Linked DNA regions of Coturnix japonica. The main gene of each other region encodes a partner of the protein of the gene in region 3 in a complex. Links are inferred from orthologs where the notes say so. Each region holds a gene or a part of one and is shown on either strand. Other genes may lie near its edges.

The links.
Region 1: the proteins of TNPO3 (region 3) and SRSF1 are in contact, whole or in part, in a crystal structure (PDB 4C0O), measured with the Homo sapiens proteins. The link is inferred for Coturnix japonica from reciprocal best matches to the Homo sapiens genes TNPO3 and SRSF1. Residues at the interface, in NP_036602.1 of Homo sapiens: His155, Arg157, Arg160, Thr167, Tyr254, Ile256, Glu257, Glu304, Glu340, Ile341, Phe343, Asn344, Tyr347, Arg348, Glu351, His352, Lys355, Thr356, Arg620, Asn656, Glu660, Arg661, Arg664, Arg667, Phe668, Arg671, Ser698, Cys699, Tyr702, Ile706; in NP_008855.1 of Homo sapiens: Ser116, Arg117, Arg118, Ser133, Trp134, Gln135, Lys138, Asp139, Arg142, Glu143, Gly145, Asp146, Cys148, Tyr149, Ala150, Asp151, Val152, Tyr153, Arg154, Val172, Arg173, Asp176, Asn177, Arg181, His183, Tyr189, Ile190, Arg191, Arg198, Pro200.
Region 2: the proteins of TNPO3 (region 3) and CIRBP are in contact, whole or in part, in a crystal structure (PDB 8CMK), measured with the Homo sapiens proteins. The link is inferred for Coturnix japonica from reciprocal best matches to the Homo sapiens genes TNPO3 and CIRBP. Residues at the interface, in NP_036602.1 of Homo sapiens: Arg620, Glu660, Arg661, Cys663, Arg664, Arg667, Phe668, Arg671, Ser698, Cys699, Tyr702, Ser705, Ile706, Asp709, Glu710, Asp747, Asp750, Asp751, Arg754, Arg758; in NP_001271.1 of Homo sapiens: Tyr160, Arg161, Ser163, Tyr164, Asp165, Ser166, Tyr167, Ala168.

Annotation. Positions count from the first base shown.
Region 1 is NC_029534.1:7,446,248-7,451,560, reverse strand, and holds the start of SRSF1 (serine/arginine-rich splicing factor 1), read right to left. Parts: upstream 3,340-5,313; 5' UTR 3,184-3,339; coding exon 2,990-3,183; intron 2,647-2,989; coding exon 2,462-2,646; intron 2,105-2,461; coding exon 1,932-2,104; exon of another isoform or gene 1,663-1,931; coding exon 1,468-1,662; 3' UTR 1-1,467. UniProt on the Homo sapiens protein: Plays a role in preventing exon skipping, ensuring the accuracy of splicing and regulating alternative splicing.
Region 2 is NC_029543.1:2,136,139-2,141,133, reverse strand, and holds the start of CIRBP (cold-inducible RNA-binding protein), read right to left. Parts: upstream 3,443-4,995; 5' UTR 3,311-3,442; intron 2,847-3,310; 5' UTR 2,841-2,846; coding exon 2,738-2,840; intron 2,649-2,737; coding exon 2,542-2,648; intron 1,677-2,541; coding exon 1,538-1,676; intron 1,447-1,537; coding exon 1,362-1,446; intron 1,241-1,361; coding exon 1,099-1,240; 3' UTR 680-1,098; coding exon of another isoform or gene 663-679; 3' UTR 1-662. UniProt on the Homo sapiens protein: Cold-inducible mRNA binding protein that plays a protective role in the genotoxic stress response by stabilizing transcripts of genes involved in cell survival. Acts as a translational activator.
Region 3 is NC_029516.1:719,994-724,077, forward strand, and holds part of TNPO3 (transportin-3), read right to left. Parts: intron 4,033-4,084; coding exon 3,938-4,032; intron 3,339-3,937; coding exon 3,182-3,338; intron 2,285-3,181; coding exon 2,117-2,284; intron 1,473-2,116; coding exon 1,360-1,472; intron 943-1,359; coding exon 882-942; 3' UTR 846-881; intron 1-845. UniProt on the Homo sapiens protein: Importin, which transports target proteins into the nucleus. Specifically mediates the nuclear import of splicing factor serine/arginine (SR) proteins, such as RBM4, SFRS1 and SFRS2, by recognizing phosphorylated SR domains.

The DNA.
Region 1 (5,313 bases), on a different chromosome or scaffold from region 3:
CAGTGAGCCCTCTCCAATCCAAACCTTTATAACCAGCAAAACCAAAAAAGAGGAGGCAAAAAGTTAGATACCGCAATGAAAAAATAGGATTCTGGGGAATGATCAGTTATGTTTGCCATCAATTAATACAGATGTACAGTAATAACTATCAATTCCCCAAAACAAGCTTCTGAATGGTGATGCTATATCTTTTGTTCTCTTTAAGAAACGTTAATTATTTGGAGGAAACACTGCAATATTTACATATGTCAACTAAAAATGCCAACATACTCATTGCTCGTACGGTGGTGCTCTACAGCTTCTGTGGTTGCAAAAAATGTTTATGAAATTGGAAAAGTTTTACTGCTAAAGCTGTCACCTACTGCGCCTCTCAGCTACGGCCAGCACCCCCGGCTGGAAGGTAACAGAGGAACTAACTGCAGCTCTCAATACGGTGAGTCAGCTCTGAATTAGGCTGGGGAAGGGCTGACAAACGATTCCCAACCAGGTTCTCTTAGGATTTGGGTTTTTGGCTTTTTTCCCTTTCATTCTGATACTTAAAAGAAATGAAATAGCAACGCTGTATCAGTCACACAGAGGACATGCAGATTTTAGCAGTATTGATATTATACTCCCATTTAAAGATACCCTTGATCCGCAAGCGTGGAAGTACTGCGGGCCGTTAACGCTTGGAACCAAATGCCGCGGGACAAACCAATGCTCCCACCCCTGTCCCGGTTTACTCCTTTAAAAAAAGACTAGAATGGAATAAGGAATTACACCGGCAAGTACTGAGCCACAATTGCCAAGAGGGTTTTAAAGAACAGAGCAATTGCAGCCCGCAGTGACCAAGAGGTGCCTGAAGAAGTGACACGCAGGCGCACGTTCTCAATTCACCTGTCTCAGTATAAGGTCAATACTGCCAAGTTCATCTGTGACAATAGCACTTGGAGTCATACCATTGCCTCCATTATTGATCTGATCCTCCTCAATCCTCCTTTTGACAATCCTAAAATGATTGACATGTGCTCCACAATCCTTTAATCCAAAGCATTCTTAATCCATCTCTTCAGATATGTCTACAGAAAGACACACGAAAAGGCAAGATAAAATATAAGATCCCCCAGAAGAGACAAGTTAGCCACAAACATCCCAACATCCCCAGCTCGCATGAACCATAGCTGAACACTGAGACATTTACACAGCAATACCACAGTTTGAAGAGTGTTGGTATTTAACTAGAACTAAATTGAAACAATCCTGACTGACATCAATTAAAATACAGTTTACCAAAGACATGAGGGGGAATGTTGTTGTTACGGAGCAAATACTCACTAGGGATTTTACACAAGAATGCAATTCAACACTTCAGCCAATCTGAATAAAACAGCTTGAATTTAAAAAAAAATAATATTGAAAGACTGTACTGAGTAAAGGAAAACTGTGTACAACATGGGGTTCTACAAAAAGATCAGAGCTAGTGATCGCTTATGTACGAGATCGGGATCTGCTGTGGCGGGGAGAGTAGCGTGGAGATCCTCTGCTTCTTCTTGGGGAATAACTGCGGCTTCTGCTGTTGCTTCGACTACGGCTTCTGCTACGACTACGGCTGCGTGACCGAGATCTTCCATAGCTTGGACTTCTTGGACCATCAACTTTAACACGGATGTAGGCAGTTTCTCCCTATTGAATAGACACAACTTTCGATTGAAAGGTCTAGGCTTCGGGGCCATCGTTTTAGGCATGCTGACAGACTGCAGATATCTTTACTAAGGCACAGAAATAGACATCAAACTCTTAATAAAGTCTATTTCGTGACAAACTGACAGCAGACTCAGTTTAGCTGCTTCGTGTATTAACGCAATGATCACCACACATTCCTTACCTTCACATCCTACTGTTAAGCCCTTTGTATCCAATTCTGGCCAAAAACAAGTAAGCGTGAAACCTACCTCATGAGATCTAAACTTAGTGTTATCCAGTTTTCGCACAGCGTAGGTCATATCTTCCTTCCGTACAAACTCCACGACACCAGTTCCATCTCGGAAAACATCAGCATAACATACATCACCTGCTTCACGCATGTGATCCTTTAAATCCTGCCAACTTCCACTTGGAGGCAGTCCTGGATAAAAAGCAACACCTGGCTTTAAAACCCAATGGTGCGATCATATCATAGTATCACAGTCTCGTGCGGGTTGGAAGGGACCTTAGACATCATCGAGTCCAACCCCCCGCGATTTGAGCCTTCTGTGTAGCAGAGCGGCACTTCTGCCACTTGCGCCACAGGGGATTCGAACCCAAGGCCTCCGGTGTTGCAATTCCAGCATCATCCCGCAGCACACGAGCAGAACACCCTGCACACAGCCCACAGCATCCAGCACCCCTCCCCCATCCCGAGGCTTCGCAGGGAAAAGCGGAGCCGCGTCGCCCCCCGCGCACGGCAGCACGAAGGACCCGGGGGAAGAGAGCAGCGACTCACCCGAGACGATCACTCTGTACTCCGATCGCCGGGACGGGGGGCCGTATCTGCCCCGCGGGGCTCCGCCCCCTCCGCCGCCGCCGCCTCCTCTGCCGGTCCCCCGGCCGCTGCGAGGGAACTCCACGCGGAGGCGATACCCATCGTAATCGTAACCGTCCCGCCCGTACACGGCGTCCTCGGCGTCCCTGCGGGTCGGGACGGGCGGTGAGCGCGGCCGCGCCCTGCCACGCGCCGCCCCCCGCAGCGCCTTTGTTCCCAATACCCGCGGCCCCACCCCGCCCCCACCACCACCATCAGCACCACAACCACCATCACCGCCATCACCGCCACCCCCAGCGGCGGCACCGCGCCGGGCCCGGAGCGCAACGAGCCGAGCGTGTGTGTGTGTGTGTGTGTGTGTGTGTGTGTGTGGAATAGCGCGCAGCGGGAGCGGCGCCGCGCGTGGAGGAAGGGAGGGAATGGAGGGGGGGGGTATCGGCGCCCGGCGGAGCCGTTCCCGCCCGTGCCCCAGGGCCCCGCGGCGCTCACCTCGGGTCCTCGAACTCCACGAAGGCGAAGGGCGGCCCCCCGCGGCGGTTCTTCAGGTCGATGTCGCGGATGGCGCCGTATTTGTAGAACACGTCCTCGATGTCCTTGGTGCGGATGTCGGGGGGCAGGTTGCCCACGTAGATGCGGCAGTCGTTATTGCCGGCCGGGCCGCGGATCACGCCCCCTCCGGACATGCCGAGGTCGGCAATGGCTGCGGCGTTCAGGGGCCGGGGCGCGGAGCGCGGGCGGGCGGGCGGGCGCGGGGCCGGGCCGTGCGGACGGGAGCGGACACGGCGACTCCAGCAACCGCCGCTTCAAAATGGCGACCGCGGCTCCCCTCGCGCTCGCAGCGCGCACTGATCTCGCGCACTGATCTCTCTCACCCCGCGCCGCAGCACCGCCGGGCCGCGAGACCGCAATGCGTTCCGAGTATCCCGCCGCGCTCTCGCCCTCGCGCATGCGCGGCAGCGCGGAAAAGTAGTTCCTCTCTTTTGCCTTTCGCCTCCGCTGCTCCGCCAAAGCGGCTGTGGCCGCACAAGAGGCTCCGCTCCTGCCAGCGAGGTCGGGATGAACGTGAATATCCGCCTCCGATCCCCGCTGTCCGCACCGGGACCGCCGCGCTTCTTTCCGCTGCCGTCTCAGGGCGCCGGGCCGTGTGACGTCACTTCCGGTGCGGCGCTCGCGCCAAGAAGTCCCGGCCGGCGCTGGGGGTGTCCCACAATGCACCGCGCCGCTCGGGGCTCTTGGCGCCAAGGCGCGGGGCGTGGCCCGGCCCACAATGCACCGCGGGCGGGTCGGGCCGTGCGCAGCGCTGGGCGGGCGGGCTCGGTACTGAGCGTCCATTCCCGGCCGGTCCGAACCGATCCGTGTCCGCACGAAGCGCTGCGGGCGGATCCGCCCTGCGGCTGCACGGGGTGCACGGGGAGCGGGCCGTGTGGGTCCGTCAGCCGCTCAGCGGACACTGTGTGGGACGGTTGGGACGGGCTCGGTGCGGAGGCAAAATGGCCGCCCCGAGGGCACGGAGCGGGCACCGCGTCACCGCCCGCCTCAGGGGAACGCGGCGGGGCGGGCAGCGGGACGGCAACGGGATACGAATAAAGGGCAGGAACACGGCAGGGTGTGATGGGGACTGAGTCATGAATGGAACAGCAGTGCAAACACCGGGCGGGTGGGAAACGAGCGGAACTGGGGGCGATGGCGGGCGCTGTGTACGGGTGTGAGCAGAGCCGGCCTAAGGGCACAGCCTAACTATGGGCAGAACCTTCCTATGAGCACAGCCGAACTATGGGGGCACGAGAATAACGCCGTGCTGAGTTTGTTTTCTTGATGAGGTTGTAATTGATGTGAAGGCACAGTAACACACCGGGATGTTACCCTTGTTACTCACACGTCTCTGACATTTCTTCAGGCAGCAGATGTAATTTTGAACGTATAAATTGCTTTTAAGTAATGAGGGTGCAATTAGATGAGCCAGGCTTTGGTTTAACAACAAGAATTCTTTTGGCCTGTAGCTGCTCTGTGGTGACACAGAAACTCCAACATCCACTTTTCTTTCTTTAATACAGCATAAAGTCTTTGCCTGACCCATGAGGGCAGAGCAGTCCCTGCTCTGTTGGCTCACACTTGGCTGCCTGGACGTTGTGCTTTGCTTTGCAGATGTGGCAATGCATTGAGGGCTGGAAGTGGCACTGGGGCACACAGTGGTTGCCTGCCTGCATCCAGCACCGCTGAGCCTGCCTGGTGCTGGAGGGCTGAATCTCAGCACCACAGGGATGGGGAAACAGCAGCTGAGCATGGAGAAAAGCCATTATGCTCCTGAGTTGATGAGGGGAGTTTGAGGAATGTGTCCGAGCATTTAGCAGTGGCTGTTGTGCTCACTTTGTTTTCATTTGTTAATTCAAAGCGTGTATTCCTCCCACAGACAGTGACTTACAGTTAGAAAACATCCCATAGTGAAAACATTTTCATGACAAAGTTATAGTGTGCTTGGTTATTATCAATGCCTTTTATTTTTGTCCCTGTGGGTTAAAGTGCAGTAACGTCCTCTGCTCTAATGGTTTCTGACATTAGTGATGCCTGTGCTGCATTGCTGGTGCTTTAAAGACTGCTGTCAACCACAGGAGGATGTGATGAGCAAAGCCCACCAGCAGAAGCGGTGCTTTACCCACATACAGCTCATGGTTCTGGGGGATTTCCTGCATCTTTATGGAGCTTTAATGCTTTCCAGTGTGAACTGGTTGCAAAGACCCCAAACAAACTCTCCCCATGTCTGGAGAAAGCTGCAGCCTAAGCCTGGGAATGGGGTTTAATAAATGCTGGATGTT
Region 2 (4,995 bases), on a different chromosome or scaffold from region 3:
GACAATATAAATAAACATTTTCAAGAACCTCTTTTATGGTAAGTTTGCAAGTCTATTTTCTGGGTAATTTACATCGTTACAACAGTAAAAATACCGTTATGCGGGTCGAACATACAAGCAAAGTTTCTCTTTAGATATATCAAGGTGGTTTTTTGCCTTCCAATTTGTACCCAGGCTGCATTCCTACCTTGCTACACTAAAGGAATGTTACAAAAGACGAAGGTAATGCACTTAAAAAAAAAGAAGAAGTCCACAGCTTGTTCAGCTTCTCGTGAACGTTGGGTTAAAAGGTCCTTTCTATCTGAAAAGAAACTGAATTATGGGGGCCCCAACTTCATGCCTTTCTATGTAAGAAAAAAAAACACCTTGGCTCATCGTGTTCGAACAAAATCTGAAGTGCTTTCCAAAAGAGATTAAAAAAAAAACCCACTCGAAAGCAGAGCCTTCCTAAAAGGAATCAAGTCTCATCAGACCCATCTGGTTTATCAGAAGCTGTCAGGCTGTGTTTTTTGTTTTCTTTTTGACAAGATTAGAACTGATAATACTACAAAAGTGGAAAATACAAGTAAGATGTACTACACAATAATAACCATTTCAGCGAAGCTCCAAAAATCTTTATAAATACAGCCATTGGAAGGACGATCTTGAGTCAGGAAGGATTTTTACTCGTTGTGTGTAGCTGAGGACAAGAAGCAGGCACAATTGTAAAGGCACTGAAGCATAGACAAGTTCCACCAGCATTTTAACTCCCTTGCATTATTCCAGCAGCTAAAGTGTGCTACCATGTCAGAGAACTCCCCCACCCTTGAATGCAGTTTGTCAGGGCTTCCTTGTTTTTTTTTTTGGTTTAGTCTCAAGCTCCAAGAATGAATTTAAAAGAAAGAAAGGAAAAGAAAAAAAAACAACAACTTGCTTTTTTGCCTTTAGATCCAAGCAACTCCTCCAACATGCATTACAAATTAAAAAGACATTATAAAACGGCACAACCGCCATCTCCAAAAGCCTGACAAGATTGGTTCTTATGGCCAAGGAAAAGAAAAAGGGGGGAAGGGGAGGGGGGGCACAGGCCAAAGCTGAACCTCAGAGCATTTCCAGACATCACAACAGGGTCAGAAGGTTTAGAGAGTTCCTACAGCAACGTACGCATGGCTCCCATTTGAACCAGGACTTACCGTAACTGTCGTAGCTGTCTCTGTAGGAGCCTCCTGAAGACCTGTCTCCATAGCCACCTTGACTCCTGCTGTTGGAAACATTCAGGCGCTTTATATTTGCTCGGCAGCTTGTGCAGCCTGCTGGCATTGCTGCCTGTCAGGCACTAAGAGCTCAGTAACAAGCCAGGCTAGCAGTCACAATAGCATTACCTGCTATTATAGTAGTCTCTGGAGCCATTATATCCTCCACTTCTGGAGTCAAATCTGCTCCCACCGTAGCCTCTGTCTCCACCTCCTGGAACACACACCATGTTTATGGTTTCTCCTCCAGCACATTGACAGACACCACCCCCATCCCAAGCAGATCAACCCCAATGTGTGCTCACCTCTGGAGAAGCCACGGCCCCGACCTCTGCCCCCACGGAAGAAGCCCCTGCCCCCGGTGGATCCCCCTCTGTAGCCTCGGGATCTGTTCTCTGATGATTTTCCAGCTTGATCGACTCTGATCTGACGGCCATCTACAGACTAATGAGCAGAAAGATAAATCAGCTCACGTACAATGCACGGCTTTGCTCCCAGTGAAGCAACACTGGAGTTTCAATAGCAGTATGTACTGGTTTGCAACACTGCAACTGAGATGACGACACATAGAGATGGATTCTCATGCATTACAAAGATGCTCTTAAAAAGAAGGCTGCCAGGTGACCTCATTGCAGCCTTTCAGTACCTAAAGGGGCCTACAAACAGACAGGAGGGCACTTCACTACAAGGGGGACAAGAGGAAAGCAAGCAGGACAAGGGGAAATGCTTTTAAGTCAAACAAGAGAGGATTTAGATTGGATTTCAGGGGGAATTTCTTTACTATGAGAATGGGGAGGTGCAGGAACAGCTGCCCAGAAAGGCTGTGGATGCCCCATTTATCTCTGGAGGTGTTTAAGGCCAGGCTGGATGGGGCCTGAGCAGCTTGGGCTGGTATTAAATATAAAGGCTGGCAGCCCTGCCTGCAGCAGAGCGACTGGAGTTTCACAATCCACAATTCCAACCCAAACCATTCTGTGATCACAGCTTCAGCCTTCTTCAGAACGCAGCAGCACAACAGGATTTCACTAAGCCACGTTGCTCTGCTGTTTCTTTGGGAAGACCCCAGTGTTTATCTGTATTATCTCATGGCTTCAAACAGAAGCATGCCTAAATTGCTTCCTGATTCCTGCAGGCATTCAAGGCCAGGATGGATGTGGCTCTGGGCAGCCTTATCTGGTGGTTGGTGACCCTGCACATGGGCAGGGGGGATGAAAATAGATGATCATTGTGATCCTTTTCAACCCAGACTATTCTATGAGCCTATAATTCTTAAGGGGGAGAAAAACCAGCTCCAGCAGACCCTGCTTACCTTCCCATTCATGGCCATCATTGCATCCTTTGCATCATCTATGTTTTCAAACGTCACAAAGCCGAAGCCTCTGGACCTCTGGGTTTCTCTGTCTTTCACCACCACCACTGGAGGAGAGAACAGCCACCATCAGAACCCAGCACAGAACTGCAGCAGAACCCAGCACATCCCCGCAGCCCCCATAACATGCCCTCACCTTCAGAGATCTGCCCGTACTTGGAGAAAACCTGCTCCAGCGACTGCTCGTTGGTGTCAAAGCTCAGCCCTCCGACGAACAGCTTGCCTTCATCTGATGCCATCGTGACCTACCGAACCAACCAGCCTCGTATCAACATCATATCAACGCCTCAACCGACGGGTCCTCCCAGCCGCCAGGGGGCGATATGCGCCGCGCCACCAGCACCGCGCATGCGCGCACCCACAGGGGGGGCCTCGCCACGCGGACCCCCGCCCGGCTCGGGACCCCCCACCCCGCGCGCATGCGCAGTGCGACGCCCCTCCTCCCTCCCGCCGCCATTTTGCACGGCCGAGGCCCGTCGCCATTTTGTTTCCAGGCGCCCCTTCACGCTCCAACACCGCGGCCATCCCGCACTAGGCCGCACCGCCCGCAGCTATACAAGGCCCGGCGGTGCAAAGCCGCCCCATTTTGGGCCGAGACACCGAACCGAACCCCCACCTCCATCGGGAACATGTTATCCTCCATGCACAGCTCCGAATCAATCCCCCCACACCCCCAGCAGCCGCCCCACGCGTGTCAGTGGGCGCTTACCGGTGTGCGGGACCGCGAACACCACCCTGCACTTCAAAGCCTCAGCGCGACGAACGCGGCGGATGGCGGGGCGGCGGCTTATATAGTCCCGCTCCAGGCCCCGCCTACTTCATGAATATGCAAATTTGAATTCGCCAGGGGGCGGGGCGAATGACGTCACCAAAGCGCCGCCGCTGCGTCGCCGTCTGATTGGATAGTATCTTGTTAATATTCATGAGGGGAGAGGGGAGGAGGGAGCGCGAACAAAACCCCGCCGGCAGCTCCGCCCACGAGGGGGCGTGGCCTGGAGCGCGACGCTGATTGGCTGAGAGCGCCCAGCCCGTTGGCCGCGGGAGCCCCTGTGAGGAGGAAGGAAGTGGAGGCCTCTGATTGGCCGCCCACCTCCTTATCCCCGCCCCCTGGCGGCCGGCACGCCCAATGGGGTGTGGCTACGCTGCCCCAGTTTCGCGCCCTTCGCAGCAATGCGGCGCTGCAGACAAAGGGGCGCCTGAGGGGGCGGCCGCCATCTTGGGTATGATCCCGGCCTGCGTTTATACGGCCCTACGAGCAGCCCTGTCCGACGTGCCGTCCTCTATCCCTTCCCTAAGGGATACCCTGAGAGGGTGGCCCAGCTCTCAGTGCTGTCCGAAGGAGCCAGGCCTTCAAACCTCAGCGCTATGCAGCCCGAGGTCCTGGTGCGGCCTAGTCCCTCTGTATGCGGCCTAGGCTCCTCGCTGTGGTGGTTCCTGAGGAGAAACGATGGCGATTATAAAACAAAACTCAGCCCTGTTTGCACTGAAATGTTTAATGAGAGTCTGCACTGGTGTATATTGACAGTACAACTTACCTAGAGCTGCATGAAGAGCCCTGTGCCACCAACAGCAACGCTGTGCAGGGGTTAAAATGGACTTATCAGAGCTACACAGCACAGGTGAGGCCCAGAGGAGAGGAGATGGAAGAGCCATTGGTCAGAGGAGGGTTGTATGTGTCTATTAAATGCATCCAATGTGCTTGGATGGAAAAGGGGAAGGTCGGACCCTTGGGAATCACTGGAGCAGCAGTTAGAAATGGTGATGATGGGCACAAAGCTTTGTAGCCTGGCTCACAGCTGAGTGCTGCTCACAGCTGTGCTCCGTGCCCTTCAGCACAGCCCTGAGCTCAGCCCTTCTACAGCCTTCTGATTAAATGAGGGTGGTGTTAACGCCAGCACTCTGCAATGAGGTTGGATAGAGTGACCTTGACACACTGATCTGTTTCAATGCTCCAGGTGCATTCTGGCCCCACCAGGACTGAGTGCTGTGGGTTGCAGTATTTGGGGCTCTCCTTGCAGAGGATTCATCCCCAAAAAGCTGAGGACACAGCGGTGACAACGTCCTTCCTTTGGCATAACCGGAGCTGCTCCATTAACAGCAGAAATCACCTGTGTTGCCCCAGATCTGCTGCTCTCCAAGGGTTTCTCCTGCTCCAGATCTGCTTGTTCCCTCTGACCCAAGCATGAGCCACAAAGCAGAGCAGCCTCTCCTTGCACTGCAGGGCTGCAGCCAAAAGCAGCACCGGGAGCAGCTCTGCAAGCTTGTTAAGGCAGCTAATTGTGTGATGAGATGTAACGTGTGTGTCACCAGAGCCAACCTCCCTGCAGCAGCAGCAGCTGGCACAGACACAGCCCTGCTCACTGTGTCCCCAAATACTCCTTGGCACAACGAGGT
Region 3 (4,084 bases):
TCCCCAACCAGCACCATGTCCCCAACCAGCACCATGTCCCCAACCAGCACCATGTCCCCAACCAGCACCATGTCCCCAACCCAACTTGATGACCCCAACCCAACACCCCATCCCCATCCCAACTTGATGCCCCCAACCCAACACCACGTCCCCATCCCAACACCACGTCCCCAACTCATCCCAACTCAATGTCCTCAACCTAACCCAATGTCCCCAACCCAACATGATGTCCTCCAACCCAACAGTGCCATGTCCCAACCCAATGCAATGTCCCTGATCAAACCCAGAACATTGTCCCCAATAAAGCACAATGTCCCCAACCCAGCACCATGTCCCCTATCCAACCCAGCACCAGGCCCCCCAACCCAGCACAACATCCCCACCCCAACTTAGCACCATGTCACCAATCCAACTCAACACAACATCCCCAGCCAAGCACAATGTTCCCAACAAAGGCCCATGACCTCAACCTGATGTGATGTCCCCAGCTGAACCTAGAACAATGACCTCAACCCAGTGCCATGTTCCCAACCCAATTTGATGGCTCCATCCCAACACGATGTCCCCAAATGAACCCAAATCAATGTCCCCGACACAGTATCATGTCCCCAACACAGCATAATATCCCCATCCCAGAGCAATGTCCCCAGTCCAACATCCCCAGCTGAATCTATACAACAGTGTCCTCAACCCAATACAGTGTGCCATGTCTTCAACCCAACATGATGTCCCCAATGCAACCCAATTCCACACAATTCCCCCATCCCAATGTGATGTCCCCAGCCCCAGCAATGCCCCTGGGGGTCTGCTGCCCCCATGGTGGCCTCTGGTCTCCTCTGCCTTACCTGGGAGCAGGCGCCGTGCCGGGTGCAGGGCGCAGGCTATCGGAACAGGCGTGTGAAGTCCCGCAGAGCCCAGCAGACCTGCTTACATTCCTCCGCACTGCAAAGGGAGGAGGTGTTAGAGGGGTGGGAGACACACAGGGACACATAGGGGGCTGGGGTCCCATGAGATACTGGGGTGTGGGCTCTGATCCCAAACTGAGGTCTGCAATTCCATCAGATATTGGGGTCCAGGCTCTGATTCCAAATTTTAGTCTGTGGTCATCAGACACCAGGGTATGGGATCTCATCTCAAGATGGGGTTTGGGGTCCCACCAGTTATAAGGGTCAGGGCTCTGATCCCAAATTGGGGTTTGGGATCCCATCAGATATTGGAGTCTAGGGTCACATCAGATATCAGGGTCCAGGCTCTGATCCCAGATTGAGGTCTGGGGTCCCATCAGATAATGGGGTCCAGACTCTGGTCACTAATTGAGAGCAAGGCTCCCAGCACTAACTGGGGTCTCTGGGCTCTCACCTCGTCACCTGCTTGTGGAAATCTGTCAGCTGCTTGTGCGTCACCTGGATGGCCCCCCCTGTCGTCTCCTTTGGCAGTGCCTTCAGGGAGTTCTCCAGCCACCGACAGAAGGTCTGAAGGGAGGGGAGAAAAGTGAGAGGAGGGTACTGTGCTCCCCCTGGGTCACTCTGTGGGATGGGGGAACATGGGGACACCATAGGGATGTGGGTGACACAGTTATGCAGGGACATGTGGGCACACGTAGGGACACAGGAATGTGGGGACATGGGGACACAGAGAAGTAGGGATATAGGGATACAGGAAAGCAGGGACATGGAGATGTGAGGGACATAAAGGATATAGAAACACAGGGATGTGGTGACACAGGGATGTGGAGCTGCAGAGATATGGAGATGGGGGGATGCAAGGACACAGGCCCATTGAGGACTTGGGGACATGGGTATGTGAGGAACATAGGGATATAGGGACATGGAGATCTGGTGGACATGAGGGTGTGGGGACACTGAGATTTGGGAATGTGGAGGAGCTAGGGGTATAGGGACATGGGGACACAGAGATGCGGGGGACATGGGGACACAAAGATGCAGGGATCTGGGGGATGTGAGGATACAGAGATATGGGTGACACAGGGATAAAGGAGCGTGAGGATGCTGGGGATATGGGGACAAGGACATGGGGATGTTGGAGACATGGGGTTGTGAAGACAGAGGGGACGTGAGGCTGTGGGGACAGAGGGGACATGGTGACGTGTGCTCACCGCGCGGTCGCTCTGCATGATCTCCCAGAGCACCTCGGCCACGTCAGGCAGTGTGTAGGGTGGCAGGCAGAAGCAGCAGGTGTGCAGGAGCTGCGAGACGAGCTGCTGCCCCAGCTGCCGCAGCACCTGCGCTATCAGCTCCGTGCGCAGCTCAAAGTCCTCCTCGTGCTGCAGGGGGATGAGGTATGAGGATCCCGAGCCTGAAACCCTAATCTTAACACTAATCCTAAAACCCCAAACCAGAAACCACAACCTTCAAACCCTAACTCTAAAACCCAAACCCTAATCTTAACCCTAACACCCTAAGCCTAAAACCCTAAGCTTAACCCTAATGCTAACCATAACCCTAAAACCCTGACCCTAAAACCTTTATCTTCACCTAATCCTAAAACCCAAACCCTGAGCCCGAAACAAGTCCAGCCCCACAATTCTAACCCTTACTCTAACCCTAAAACTGACCTCAAACCTTCACTCCCTAACCCTACATTTCTAGCCATAAATCTCTGACCCCACACCATCTTCAATCCCAACCCACCATCATCTCCACATCATGCCATCCCCAAATCTCCAAACCCTAACCCCAAAATTCTAACCCTAACCCACATCACCTCCAACCCCAACTTCCTCTCTTACCCCAATCCTATGTCCCAACCAGTCCCAAATCTAACCCTACAACCGCAACAAACCCAATCCTACATCCTCTCCCAATACTACATCCTCTTTTGACCTCCCAACCACACATCCTCTTCCAATCCCACTTCCTCTTCCAATCCAACCTTATGTTCTCTTCCAACTCAAACCCATATCCTCTCCCAATCCCACATCCTCTCCCAACTCAATCCCACATCCCCTCTCAACCTATATCCTCTCCCAATCCCACATCCTCTCCCAATCCCACATCCTCTCCCAACTCAATCCCACATCCCCTCTCAACCTACATCAATCTACAATCCCACATCCCAACCCAACCCCACATTCTCTCCCAACGTCACATCCTTCCCCGTGTTCTCTTTCAACCCCAAATCTCGGCTCCCTGTCCCCTTCCCCCCATCCCACCCCACTCACATCATTGGCCACCCCGGTGTGCACGAGGTCACGCAGGAACTTCATGACGCTGCAGTTGGCGTCGCGGTGGTCCAGCGTGGTGGCGGCGATGGCCCATTGCAGGATGGGGATCATCACCTGGCTGCGCAGCAGCGTCACCGGGCTGCGCTGGATGAACCTGGGGACAGGGACAGTGCCACGGGGGCGGGGGGAAGGGGGGTGGGGGGTACAGGGAGAGGAGAGTGTGGGGATATGACATGGGGATGGAGTGTGGGGACGGGCGGAGCATGGGGACAGAAGGATATGATGTGGGGAGAATGGGACAGGGGGGTATGGGTACAAAGGGATGGGGGGATATGATGGGGGGGGCAAGGGGGTGAGGACGGGGGGATATGGGTACATTGGGACAGGGGACAATGGGTTCTGGGGAGAGGGATAGGAAGATATAATGTGACATGGGGTCAGGGGGATGTGGTGACAGCATGTTATGGGGATATCATGTGGGACAGGGAAACAAAAAGGAGATGGGGATGCAGGAAATGGGGGACATGGAGATGCGGGGACATGGGTATGCAGGGACAGTTAGACACGGGGACATAAAGGACTTGGGGACAAGAAAATGCAGGGACAGAGAGACACGGAGGACTTGTAGACATGCAGATACAGAAATGTAGATGACACAGAGATGCAGGAACATGGAGATATGGAGGACATGGGGATGTGTGGATTCAGGGACATGGAGGACATGGCTATTTTGGGATGTGGGGACACAGGTACCTGGCTGCGAGGCGGAAAAGATCATCCACGGTGTCGGGATGGTTCTGGAGGCCACTGGGCTGCTCAAGGAGCTGGAAGGTGGGGATGCAAAGAGCCTGGGGGGGGACACACCAGTCATTAAGGCTCCTTGGCAATTAATTGGGCATC